Linked DNA regions of Sus scrofa. The protein of the gene in region 2 interacts with the protein of the main gene of each other region in a biochemical or structural test. Links are inferred from orthologs where the notes say so. Each region holds a gene or a part of one and is shown on either strand. Other genes may lie near its edges. The genes, in order: CHD8, WDR5 and KMT2C.

What was found.
Region 1: the proteins of WDR5 (region 2) and CHD8 form a complex in vitro, tested with the Homo sapiens proteins (2 studies listed by BioGRID). The link is inferred for Sus scrofa from reciprocal best matches to the Homo sapiens genes WDR5 and CHD8.
Region 3: the proteins of WDR5 (region 2) and KMT2C form a complex in vitro, tested with the Homo sapiens proteins (4 studies listed by BioGRID, with this or other methods). The link is inferred for Sus scrofa from reciprocal best matches to the Homo sapiens genes WDR5 and KMT2C.

What each region holds. Positions count from the first base shown.
Region 1 is NC_010449.5:77,739,949-77,743,593, reverse strand, and holds part of CHD8 (chromodomain-helicase-DNA-binding protein 8), read right to left. Parts: intron 3,233-3,645; 5' UTR 3,191-3,232; coding exon of another isoform or gene 3,185-3,190; 5' UTR 3,019-3,184; coding exon 2,176-3,018; intron 1,319-2,175; coding exon 947-1,318; intron 233-946; coding exon 1-232. UniProt on the Homo sapiens protein: ATP-dependent chromatin-remodeling factor, it slides nucleosomes along DNA; nucleosome sliding requires ATP. Acts as a transcription repressor by remodeling chromatin structure and recruiting histone H1 to target genes.
Region 2 is NC_010443.5:273,558,695-273,562,439, forward strand, and holds the start of WDR5 (WD repeat-containing protein 5), read left to right. Parts: upstream 1-1,584; 5' UTR 1,585-1,700; intron 1,701-3,745.
Region 3 is NC_010460.4:5,262,185-5,265,829, forward strand, and holds part of KMT2C (histone-lysine N-methyltransferase 2C), read left to right. Parts: intron 1-1,436; coding exon 1,437-1,615; intron 1,616-1,719; coding exon 1,720-1,856; intron 1,857-2,668; coding exon 2,669-2,918; intron 2,919-3,645. UniProt on the Homo sapiens protein: Histone methyltransferase that catalyzes methyl group transfer from S-adenosyl-L-methionine to the epsilon-amino group of 'Lys-4' of histone H3 (H3K4).

The DNA.
Region 1 (3,645 bases), on a different chromosome or scaffold from region 2:
CTCGAGGTATATTCTGTTCACCCCGAGCACGGGCCCTAGCAATGGCCTCTGCTACAATCCGATTTGCTTTCTCTTGTTTCTTCTGGTGCTCCAGCCTACGGTTTTCTTCAATTCCCGTCTTGCCCCCAGTATGAGGGGTAGAGCTTGCTGGTGAGGACAGAGCTGCCACTTCACTGGCACTTAGAACTTTAACTACAGAGAGCCCAGAAGATGCCCCTTGGGAAGAGCCGGCCTATAGAAATAAAGACACTAAAATTTCAACATTCTTGTAGTGAAATGACCTGAATAAAAGAGCTCTGAAGCAGGCAGGCTAGAAATTTTAACTCTCTAATTACTCAAGAACCAAACTCTGACCAACTCCTACTGAACCTAGAGACACATTTAAAGAAAAAAAAAAAGAAGAAAACTGTTTTATGGTGGGAAGGGGATGAGAAAAGGCGAGAAATCTGTGTCAAATTAACCTTCGATATCCTTTAGCCATGCTTCTAATGTCAATACCCATCTCTATAATCCCCCCAAATTTCAAACAATATTGCCAACACTGGCCTCTAGGCTAAAAGGAAAAAAATTCAGATCTATTCTTGGCCTACCTGTATCTCCCTCGGGGCGAGAGGAATGATAATCATTTGACCCTTTAAGAGTCTTTATCTTTCAAGCAGGATGATATTTTGTCATTTTTATTCACGAGAACATTAGGAAAAGATTGTAAATGAAAAGTTCAACAAGTACTAGACAAATCATCTCTTATTCTAAACCCAAAAATAACCCTCAAATCTTTTCATGACATAATTAAAACAAAATTTCCATGGGTGAAAGAAATAAAAGTCTGCATCTCATTTCAGAGGTAGGAATCTAGACTGGCCCCACATTCAACAATGAGTGGTCACTGAGGGTAAGAGCAAGGGACTAAGAGACTTGTTTTCCTTCTTAACTCTGTAAGTCTCACCTGTGGCTGCAGCACCACCTTGAGTGGTACTGAAAGTCTTTGTCCTGGGCCCTGTCCTGGTCCCATTATCTGAGCCTGTTGCACAGAGGAGAGAGCCACTGGCTGGGTTGAGGGTGGCTGCTGGGGTTGTGGCTGTGATGATGGAGGCTGTGGTACAATCTGGATTTTCTGCTGCGGCTGCTGCACCTGCAGCTGGATAGTTACTACTTTGGCAGGCTGCCCCTGGGCATTCTTGGCTTGAGTCAGGGCTGCTAGCTGGTTGCCCTGTAACACTATCTTGCCTGGTAGACTCCCTAGCACGACATGCCGGTGTCCTTGGGGACCTCCAGACTGTGGCTGCTGGAGGACCAGCGTGATGCGTTTTGATTCACCCTAGAGCAAAGAAAGGAAATTGCAAGAGAGGTACAACATTAAGAATGGTAGACCTCTGAATATTTACACCAGTTTTCCTTATCCTAGAAATAAAAACTGGGGGTCAGAAGACACAATACAATTCGTTTATTCATCCTCCTATCTGTCCAGATAAAAATCTTTTCTGTAACAGCTCTGCCCAGTGGGTATCAAGCCTAGTCTTGAAAAACTGATGGGAGGCTCACTATCCTCTAAGGCAGTCATTCCATTTTTTGGAACTCTCTTAGAATAAAGTCTTTATAGTGAACTAAAATCTATCTTCTTACAGTTTCTCTCCACCAGCCCTACTTATCTGAATACTGCCCTCTTCTCTCCTCAAACTCTTCTGGCCAGAGCCTCAATTTTCTTACAATAGAAACTAGCCTTTTCCTGGGCAAAATCACAGAAGGATGATCTTAATAATAAGAACAGAGGAAAGATACATAGCTTCCATAAGTCTTGCAAATATAAATATATTTTTCAAAAACCATTTTGTTCCAATGGCATCCTTACATTTCTCATACAACTTTACATCATACTTTATTGTGAGTTCTCATTTAAGGTCTGTAATTTCCTGGCAGACTGTGAGCTCTGTAACGACAGGGACTGTGTCTATCTTGTTCAGTACCAGCTAGGCACAGTGTAAATGTAGTAAGAGCTCAAAAAATATGTTAACACTAACTACTTTCTTCTAGTAAGTAATAAACATGTGGCTGTCAATACTACTGATAAAAAGAATTTAAACACGATTTCCTAGAGACATCTCTCCTGTGTTTGCTCTCACAGTTGCTGGGCCCTCTACTAAACCAAAATTCACCGCCCCCTTTCACTCAAGTCACCTGGGTAGGTGTAGAGGTCAGTGTAACTGCAGGCTTCAGTGGGGGCCCTGTGGCCCCAGGGTTTCCAGCAGGAGCTGAACCCTTAACTGGCTGTAGAACCAGCTGCTTTACTGGTCGGCTGGGCTGGACAATGCGCTGAACAGTAGCCTGGTTCCCAGGGACCTTGGCAGCCAACACTGTATTACCAGAGACAATGGAAACACCAGGTCGAAGGGGAGTGCCGGTTAGCACTTTGGTAAAAGTGACTTTTCCACCATTGGCTGTGCCTGCCACGAGGGGCTGAGCTGTGCTGGTGATACCTTGGGCCTGAATTTGTGCCACATGGGCACCAGTGACTGAGGAGCTTGGTGGGGCCTTAAGAATAACAATCTTAGGGGCTGACTGAGATGGTTGCCCTCCAGCACTACTGGAGGAGACAGCTGTGGCAGAGACACCCATGAAAGGATTCCCTTGGCTCAAGATCTCCTGGCTCTTGGAGACCTGCAAAAGTCCTGATGTTGGCGTCGGTGTCTGTAAGACAGGTTGGGCTGGCTGCTCTTGGCTGACAGGCTGAGTGGTATAATCATGCAAGGTTAAAGATTCTGGAGCTGGAGCTGCTGATTCTTTGGGAAGTTCTGTGGGGGTTGTTTCCTCTGGTGGGGGGACCAAGTCACTTGCTGATGAATTCCCCACATCACCACCTCCACCATCCTGGTTCATCTGATCCAAGGAGTCCAGAGAGCTTGGCAGTCCAAGAGCTTCCTCAATAGGATCTTGCGTGACTTGATTGAAGCTGTCATCAGTCAGAGAGTCCAGGCCAAATAAATTTGGGTCATCAAACAGATCCATGATGGGGTCTGCCATCTTGGGAAAGTAATGGGGGTACTTCCCCAAGGTCTAGGGAGGGAAGGGGAGGGGGGGTACTGGCTCTCCCCTCCCCTCCCCTATTAAGAAAAAAATGTACACAATGGAAGAGGACTACTCTTCACATAAAGAGGCAAGAAACAAGTGCATGTCAGATTGTCCTGACCTTCATAGAGCAAGATGGCTAGGTCTTCAGAGGAAGATGGTGGAACTCCTGTTGTAGGAAGACAAATGACAAATAAGCAAAGTAGGTGATCTCAGGGAAAAGTTCTCCTTCTTAGGTACTACCCTTAATATAAAATAGCATCAACATAATGAGAGAAGATGGAAACGCAAGGTCATCTGAGGATGGAGACACAACAGAAAGAACATCCATATTTCTGCTTCAAAACTAAAATTAAAAAAGAAATTAACTCCCTTTGGGGGCTCTTACACCTACAAGCTTTGAAGCTTCTATCTGTCAAGATCACTCAGGTGTCTCTGTCCATTTCTTTTTTTTTTTTAGGGCTGAACTTGTGGCATATGGAAGTTCCCAGTCTAGGGGTCAAATTGGAGTTGCAGCGCCATCCAGGCCACAACCACGTGGGGTCTGAGCTGAGTCTGCAAACTACACCACAGCTCACAGCA
Region 2 (3,745 bases):
GGGTGGTGCTAGGCTACAGCGGGGGTGGGCGGCCTGTCTGGCAAATGCCCCGGGGCAGAGATGGAGTTGGAACTCAGGGCAATGGGGAGCCAGCTCTGCGTCTCGACTTGGGGAATGACGGGTCAGCGCTGGGGGTTTCGAAGTCCTTTCTGCTTCAGAGAGGTTTGGAAAAGGCCCGCAGGGAGGCCGGACTGGGGTAGGCGTGGTGAGAAGAGGATGGCTGCCTGTGAGAACTATGGGAGCGGTGATGGGGTGTATCAACAGAGATGAAACGGGCTGTGCTTGGGGCCAGGCAGCAGGTGGATGCAGATACTCTTCTTCATCCTGAGCTGGCTTGGTCACCTTTGGTGGTCACCGTCTCCTGCTCCAGGACACCTGACCCAAGGCGATGAGGCCTCCTGGGCACAGAGATCCACTCCCAGTCCTGCAGGGCCAGACAGGGATTTTGCGGCCCCTGCGTTCTCCTTGGAAGGGATCTTGGGCCAGCTGCCAGCCTTGTCTCCTGTATCTGTGACAACCACACTAGTATTCCCTGAGGCTTTCCACTTCAAATGCTCTGTCCTTGTTTGCACAGGTTCCTGTGTCATGTTCGGCGCCCCCCCCCCTTTTTAATTTGGCCGAGCCATGGCATGCAAAAGTTCTCAGGGCAGGGATCCAACCCTCGCCACAGCAGTGACAACGCTGAGGCCCTAACCGCTAGGCCACCAGGGAACTCCTAAGTGTTCCCATTTTTAATTGGGAAATAAACTGTGTTACTCTACCCACGGGCCTGGGTTGGGGCCGTGAGGCTGCCTAGCCCACGACCACCTCCACGACTCTAAGACCCACGTGGGTAGCAGAAGTGGGGCAGTGAGATGAGAATGTGCAGGATTTGGGGTGAGAACCCAGGCTCCAGGATCTCCTTGTGCCCCTGAGCCGTCCCTCTCTGGGCCTCCCCTCCCCACTTGCAGATGGAAGTTATAATACCTGTCTGGGCCATCACCCTGCAGGCAGCAGAGCAGCCTGCACGCGGTGACTATTCGTACCTCGGCGTTGGGGGCTCAGGAGAGGGCAGGTGCGCCCGGTGGGCTCCCTGCACCGAGAGGCGAGAGGCGGGCAGACCCCTCCGCCGGCCCTGCGCGGGAGTTGATGGGCAGAGTGCAGAGGACGCAGCCCCGGGAGAGGGCATTCTGAACACTTCGGAGCTCAGATTCCTCGCTTCACAGTTGGAAGGTGAGGGCCTCTGTACCGGGACGTCCCAAACATTGATGAAGACGCTCAGCCCAGGGCTCTGCCCAGAGCGCCGCCCTCTAGTGTGCGCGACGATGGAGGGCGGCGACCCCGCAGATGCCCCAAGTCAGAAGAAAGGTTGGGGCCCCGCCGCCGCTTGAATTCCACGGCGGCGGAACTCCACTCCTCCCTGGGGCGCCGCCGCAGAAGGACCGCCGGAACCTGTCACCTCCCGGGTTAACGCCTTTAAGCAGGAGCACACTGTCCCTTTAAGGCGTTGAGCCGAGCCGAGGCGTTTTGCTCCTCGCCGCTCCCCGTAGCTCCCCTCCGAGAGGCCGGCTTTGTGCGTTTGCCCCGCCCTCTCGCCCCGCCCCCGCGCACGCGCATTGCCGCTCGCCGCGCCGCCTAGTCGAGCTCGGCCCGGCTCCCGCCCAGGCGGCGGCAGACGCGACGCCCGGAGCGCCCGTCCTCAGCCCCTCGCCGCCCGGCAGGTAAGCTGGGGCCGCCCGGCCGGCGGACACGCTTCGGGGGGACGCGGGCTGGGGGTCGACGCCGGCGCACCCCGCGCCGTCCGTCGCGGCACGTGTTCTGGCGGGCCCGGCCCCGGCCCGGGTTCAGCCCCGCCGGGCCTCCCGGCGCAGACGCCCCGCGCCCGCCGCTTCGCCTCCGGGGCGCGAGCTTGGCTGCCCTTTTCCCCGCCGAGCGCCCAGCCCCCTCCGCAAACGGACTCGCACGGACCGCCGCGGAGCCCCTGGGACCCCCAGCTTCTCCCGCCCCCAGCGGTCAGGTGACGAGCCCCCAGCCCCGGGACTGCGACTTCCTTCTGGAGCCGGCGTGCATGACCCCTTTGCCTCCAGAGAAGCACCCCAGACCCCAGAGCCATCCAGTGCCTGGATGTGGCGCGCTGTCTGCCTTCCTCTGCTGCAGGGACGCCCCCACCTCAGCCCGCTCTGTACTCCCAGCCCGAGGCAGCCCCAGGCCCCATTGCTCCCTGAGAGTTCGGGGTTCCGGGGCTGCGGGGCTGCCGTCACGAAGGGAAGGCCCACCACGCCCTGCGGTGGAGCCTCGGACCCCTTCCAGTCTGGCTCGCGAGGGCCACTTTGGGGGATGTGGAAGATCATTCCTGGTGCCTTCTGGTCCCGCTTCTACCCGCTCAGGTCCCTTAGCCCCCGTCTGGCAAGTACTGAGTTAGACACTCTCCCCTGAGGTTGGCCCGGTTGGTAGAGGCAGCTGGGTAAGCTGGACCCCAGGTATGTCTGAGATTTCAGGTGGGGTGGTGAGCAGCGAGTCTCCTCACTCTGTGCGGGCCAGTTACCTCCTGTCTCGCCACACCTTGGCCCCAGTCTCTGGGGTGGCGCCCAGGCATCTGCATTTCGAGGCAGTCCAGGCGAGCACTCTGAAGTTTGGGAGGCTCAGCCTTAGGTGGTCAGACTCACCTGGGAGCCAAGAAGGAGCAAGTCGCAGGTGCTGGGGAGGCTGGCTCCAAACAAGGTGTCCAGAAATCGTATTTCTAAAGGTTGATTTCTGTACGTTAAGGTGTTGCTAGCTGAGGAGTGGGGCAGGGCTGGGGCACTTTTTCTGTCCCCCTATTGGATCCCCCGCTCCTCACCTGAAGGCAGCCAGTTCGCCCCACCTCCTGGTGGGTCTCAAGCCTCTGTGCTCCCTTTCGCACCCCAGACAGAGCCTCTTCTGTTCCTGCACGTGTTTAGCTCGGGGGAGGGGGGGCCTTCTCGCAGCTCTTGGCCTTGGTCTCATTGCCTCCGATGCTCAGTTCTGTGCAGAGGACTCTTCGGCCCACTTGTCCAGCCCAGCAAAGGGCAGGCAGTGCCGGGCTAATTGGCACGGCCTGCTTGCACTAACGACAGTCACAAGCGGCGAGTGCTTCCTGAGCCCCAGCTCTGTGCCAGCACTTTGCCCCCACACATCTGCTGACCTGCCCCTTCCTTGCCCTCCCCCAGCCCAGTACTTGAGCTTTGGGTGCTGCAGGCTCCATCCCTGCGCAGGGAGCCTTGCTCAGGTGACCAGCTGTTTCCCCTCCGCACAGCTCTGGCCACTCTGCACAGCTGGGTTGCGTTGACCTTTCTCTCCCATCTTCTTGGAGGGAGAGTTTGGGACTTGCTCTTGGTGATGGCTCCTGCTCCGCCTCAGTGTGACGAGAAACCTGTGCAAGCTTCCAGTTTGAGGCGCCAAGCTAGAATGTACAGCTTGTGAACCCAGCAGGTTAACAGTGGTGCCAGCTTCCGGGAGGTGGCTGGCCAGTGGGACTTGCGGGATGTCTGGGCGGCTCTGGAATAATGCTTGCCCTTGTTTCAGAATCACCTGGTGTGTTTCTGTGCCAAGTATCCCAGTGGCAGAATCCATTCTTGTGACAGAGGAAGCCAGTTGTACTGTGCAGCTTTTGAGTGGTTCCCGTTTTCATGCTGAAACCTAATTGAGCTGCCTCTTTCCCCCTTCTCTGCAGTGGGTCTTGCTTGCATAGCATCTGCGTACTTTAGGCTGCTTCTGTGGAGGGCTGGACTGGACCATGGGGACCCCA
Region 3 (3,645 bases), on a different chromosome or scaffold from region 2:
ACACTTGAAAGGTAAAATTTGGTGAATGATTTTCCTTAGAATTTAAAGTTCATGAAACACGCTGTTGAATATAATTTATTTGTGTGTTTAAAAAATCTTATATAGGAAGTTCAACAGAATAGTAATCGAACATTAAGGCAGTGGGACTCTCCATGCAAAATATTTCAAAGATTATTGTCGAGAGTTCTTGGTGGCCTAGCAGTTAGGGAATCCTGCGTTGTCATTACTGTGGCTCTGTTTGGATCCCTGGCCTGGGAACTTGTGCTTGCCTCAGGCTCGGCCAAAAATGAGAAGCAAAAAACCCCAAAGATCATTGTCCTTTATAAGCTGTTCTTTTGGTTTCCTGGGTTTACTGATGGTTGCAGATGCCAGATTCAAAGGGCAGCAGTCAGGGAGATCGGTGAGTGCTTTTGCGGAAGAGATGGCGGGTACCACCATGCTCTTGGTGTCAGTTCTGGAGCCCAAGATTCGGAATGGGGAGAAGAGCATCCCCTAGTAGATAATCACACCGGCTGGTCAGGTCCAGGAGCGGCTCTTACAGGCCTCATCAAGTGACTCTCTTCCTCAGAGAATCTGGTGCCCCCCCCCTTTGATGCGCTGTCCTTTGGACGAAGTCTCTGTACTGTATTAATGAGAGAACTCTGCGGGGAGGAGGAGTGAGGAGCAGGTCTCTCTCTCTCCTGTACCCGGCGGCTAGATTGGTGCCAGCTGGGTGACTCAGGAGCAGCCGCGGGACGGGAGGTGGCCTCTGGGCGTGCGTGTTGAGTGCCCACTGCTGGGTTTTACAGGGACGCCCTGGAAGCCTCTCTTGCCGCTTCTCTCAGCAGCCTTCAGCAGGACGGCCTCTCTTCCGGGGAGGAGCGCGGGACCCAGGTTCCTGGGCTGCGCTACAACATTTAGCCCAGCTGCCTTGGCAACCTCTAGCTTCTGGGCCTGGACCCCCTCTTTTTTCACCTTACTTCATCGTTTTGAAAACAAAGGCCTGTGAGGTCACGAGGGATAGCCTTGCCGCTGTCCGTGAGCGGCAGCCCGGAGAGCTCTGTGCGCGTGGGACTGCGGATGGGGGCCGGCTCTTTCTTTCCCAGCTGCAGGAGGGTGCCCTAGGCTCAGTGATCTGGAACTTGGCCGAGGTGTGAGCATCCATCCTTTCCATGCCGCATAGTGATCCCATCAATCATCTTCCTTCTTTGGCAGGTCTTTACACTCGGATGCTAAAGCTTTAGTCAGAAGGAAACTTACCATTGAGATTACCTTATAGTTAAACACATTTGTTGTTTTTTTTCCCCAAGAGATTTCCTGGTTGGCCCCAATCCTTGGCTCCTTGGGCTGCTGTTGTTGTGCAGAGGTCACGCACATAGCGGGGGCCGGGTTGGTGTGGGAAGCACCCAGGGCTGGGTGTGCGCGGCTGACGCGCACTGTGTTTGCCTGTCTCTTAGGATCCAGGACCACGGTGGTGGTCGGGACACCCCTGACAGCTTTGTTCCTTCATCCTCTCCGGAGAGCGTGGTCGGGATGGAAGTCAGCAGGTACCCGGATCTGTCACTGGTCAAAGAGGAGCCTCCGGAGCCGGTGCCATCCCCCATCATCCCGATCCTTCCCAGCCATCCCGGGAAAGGTAGGGCCGGGCCTCACCACCCAGTTGCTGTCTGCCTCTGCCGGGCCGCGCCCGTTCGTGTTTTGAAACATGGTTAACACGCAGTTAATCCTTCTTCTTTTAAGGTTTGGAATCTAGAAGGAATGACATCAAAACTGAACCAGGCACTTTATTTTTCACATCACCGTTTGGTTCCTCCCCAAATGGTCCCAGATCGGGTCTCATATCTGTGGCAATTACTCTGCATCCGACAGCTGCTGAGGTAAAGAGGAAATGGCTTTTTGACGTTATGGGATATGTCCCCATTTTTAGGGTGTGTCAGTGGCACGCACAGCAGGGTCGTTGCGGATGAAAGATTCAAGTTTGGGTAGGCTCGGGGGGTCACTTCGGACGTCTGCTGCCGCCACAGCTGTGACCAAGCATCAGACAGATGGGTCCACATCAGGGCAAAGGGCAAAGAGTGAGAGTTGCCTTTTTTATTCAAGGGTGTGTATGGCAGGGAACTCTTTAGAGAAGGAGAAACCCTTTGATAACTGTCTGCACAGAGAAAATTAAAGCAGTGAAAAAGAACTTGGTCAGCGAGGGAAGTTTTCCAGAAGGGGGATGAATGTTGAACAGCAGCTCATGCCAAACACTAGCCCATGGCTGGGATTTTTTTTTTTTTTAACTCAATTCTTGAAGATGGTGGTGGCCAAGCTCATAGTCCAGTGATGGGGTGTTGCCGTTGTCAGCAGAACGTAGCAGTAGCGTGGGCTCCTGGACTGTTTGTCCAGAGCTGGGCAGAGGCCCCTTGGAGAAGGCGACGACCAGCTGTACCATCGGGGACACGGTTTGGCTCGTTCCGTGTCTTCAGTGTCTGCGAGAGTTTACTGCTCTTCGGATACTTGGCACCGACGGTTGCCGGGATGAGGACTCCTGTCCGCCGAGGCTTTGTTTGGGTCGGGCCCATCGTAATCCCCTCTTAGTCTGAAGAACGTCACTGGATTTGCAGCCTGCGTGTGTCCCGCAGGCGACCTTCCGTGGTTCGTGGTCGCTGTCTGGGTGGGTAACACCGCGTTTGCAATTTTGTTTTAGAACATTAGCAGTGTTGTGGCTGCGTTTTCCGACCTTCTCCACGTCCGAATTCCTAACAGCTATGAGGTTAGTAATGCCCCAGATGGTCCATCCGTGGGTGTGGTCAGTAGCCACAGAGTAAACCCAGGTTTGGAGTATCGACAGCGCTTATTTCTTCGTGGGCCTCCACCAGGACCTGCAAACCCTCCCAGATTAGCCAGCTCTTACCACCTGAAGCAGCCTAATGTGCCTTTTCCTCCAGCGAGCAACGGTGAGCTGGTTTACATTTCGGTAACCCCAGATTCATTCTTGATTCCAAAGTTAAGCTTATTCTCTTTAAAATCTCACCTTAATTTTGAACACGTCCAGGGAACGTGTTGGCGCGGAGTCTTGGTGGATTAACGCTCTGGGTGTTGTGTCTCATGGGCCTGCCTGAGCTTTCCGTTCTATCCAGCTGTCAGCCCGGAGGCGCGGGGGTGCGCGCCCATCCCCGACGCCGGGGCCCCTCTTGCTCTCCTGCGCCCCACCTGCTGCTCGCTTCTCACCGTGGCGGGCAGGCGGCTTGGCCGGTGCTCCTCTCCCCTCCTCCTGCAGCAGTGCTCCCGCTCCCCTCGCTCCCCTCGCCGTTTCCTCTCTCCTGGGCCACGTCCGTTCCTGTGTGTCTGCCTGACTGGCCTGCCCTCACCCTGCTGCCCCATCTCCGCACTCACCCGTGTGGGGTGGCCCCCTGCTGCCCTCACCTGCTCTTGTAGCCCCGCAGCTTCCCAGTGCTCATCCCTGAACCTCCCCGAGAGTTGCTCCTGTTGGAGGGGGAGTTCTCAGCCTCGGGCTGCTTCTGTCACATGGGTTTTTTTCCCCTGCTCCTCCCTCTCTGGCTTCTCGGCCACACGGAGGATGTGCTCTGAGGGGGCCTCGTGCTCTGGGGTCTGAGCCCGTACACTTTCCTCTTGGCCCCGGGCCTGCCGCGCTCCCTCTTTGAGTTTCCGAATCACACCCAC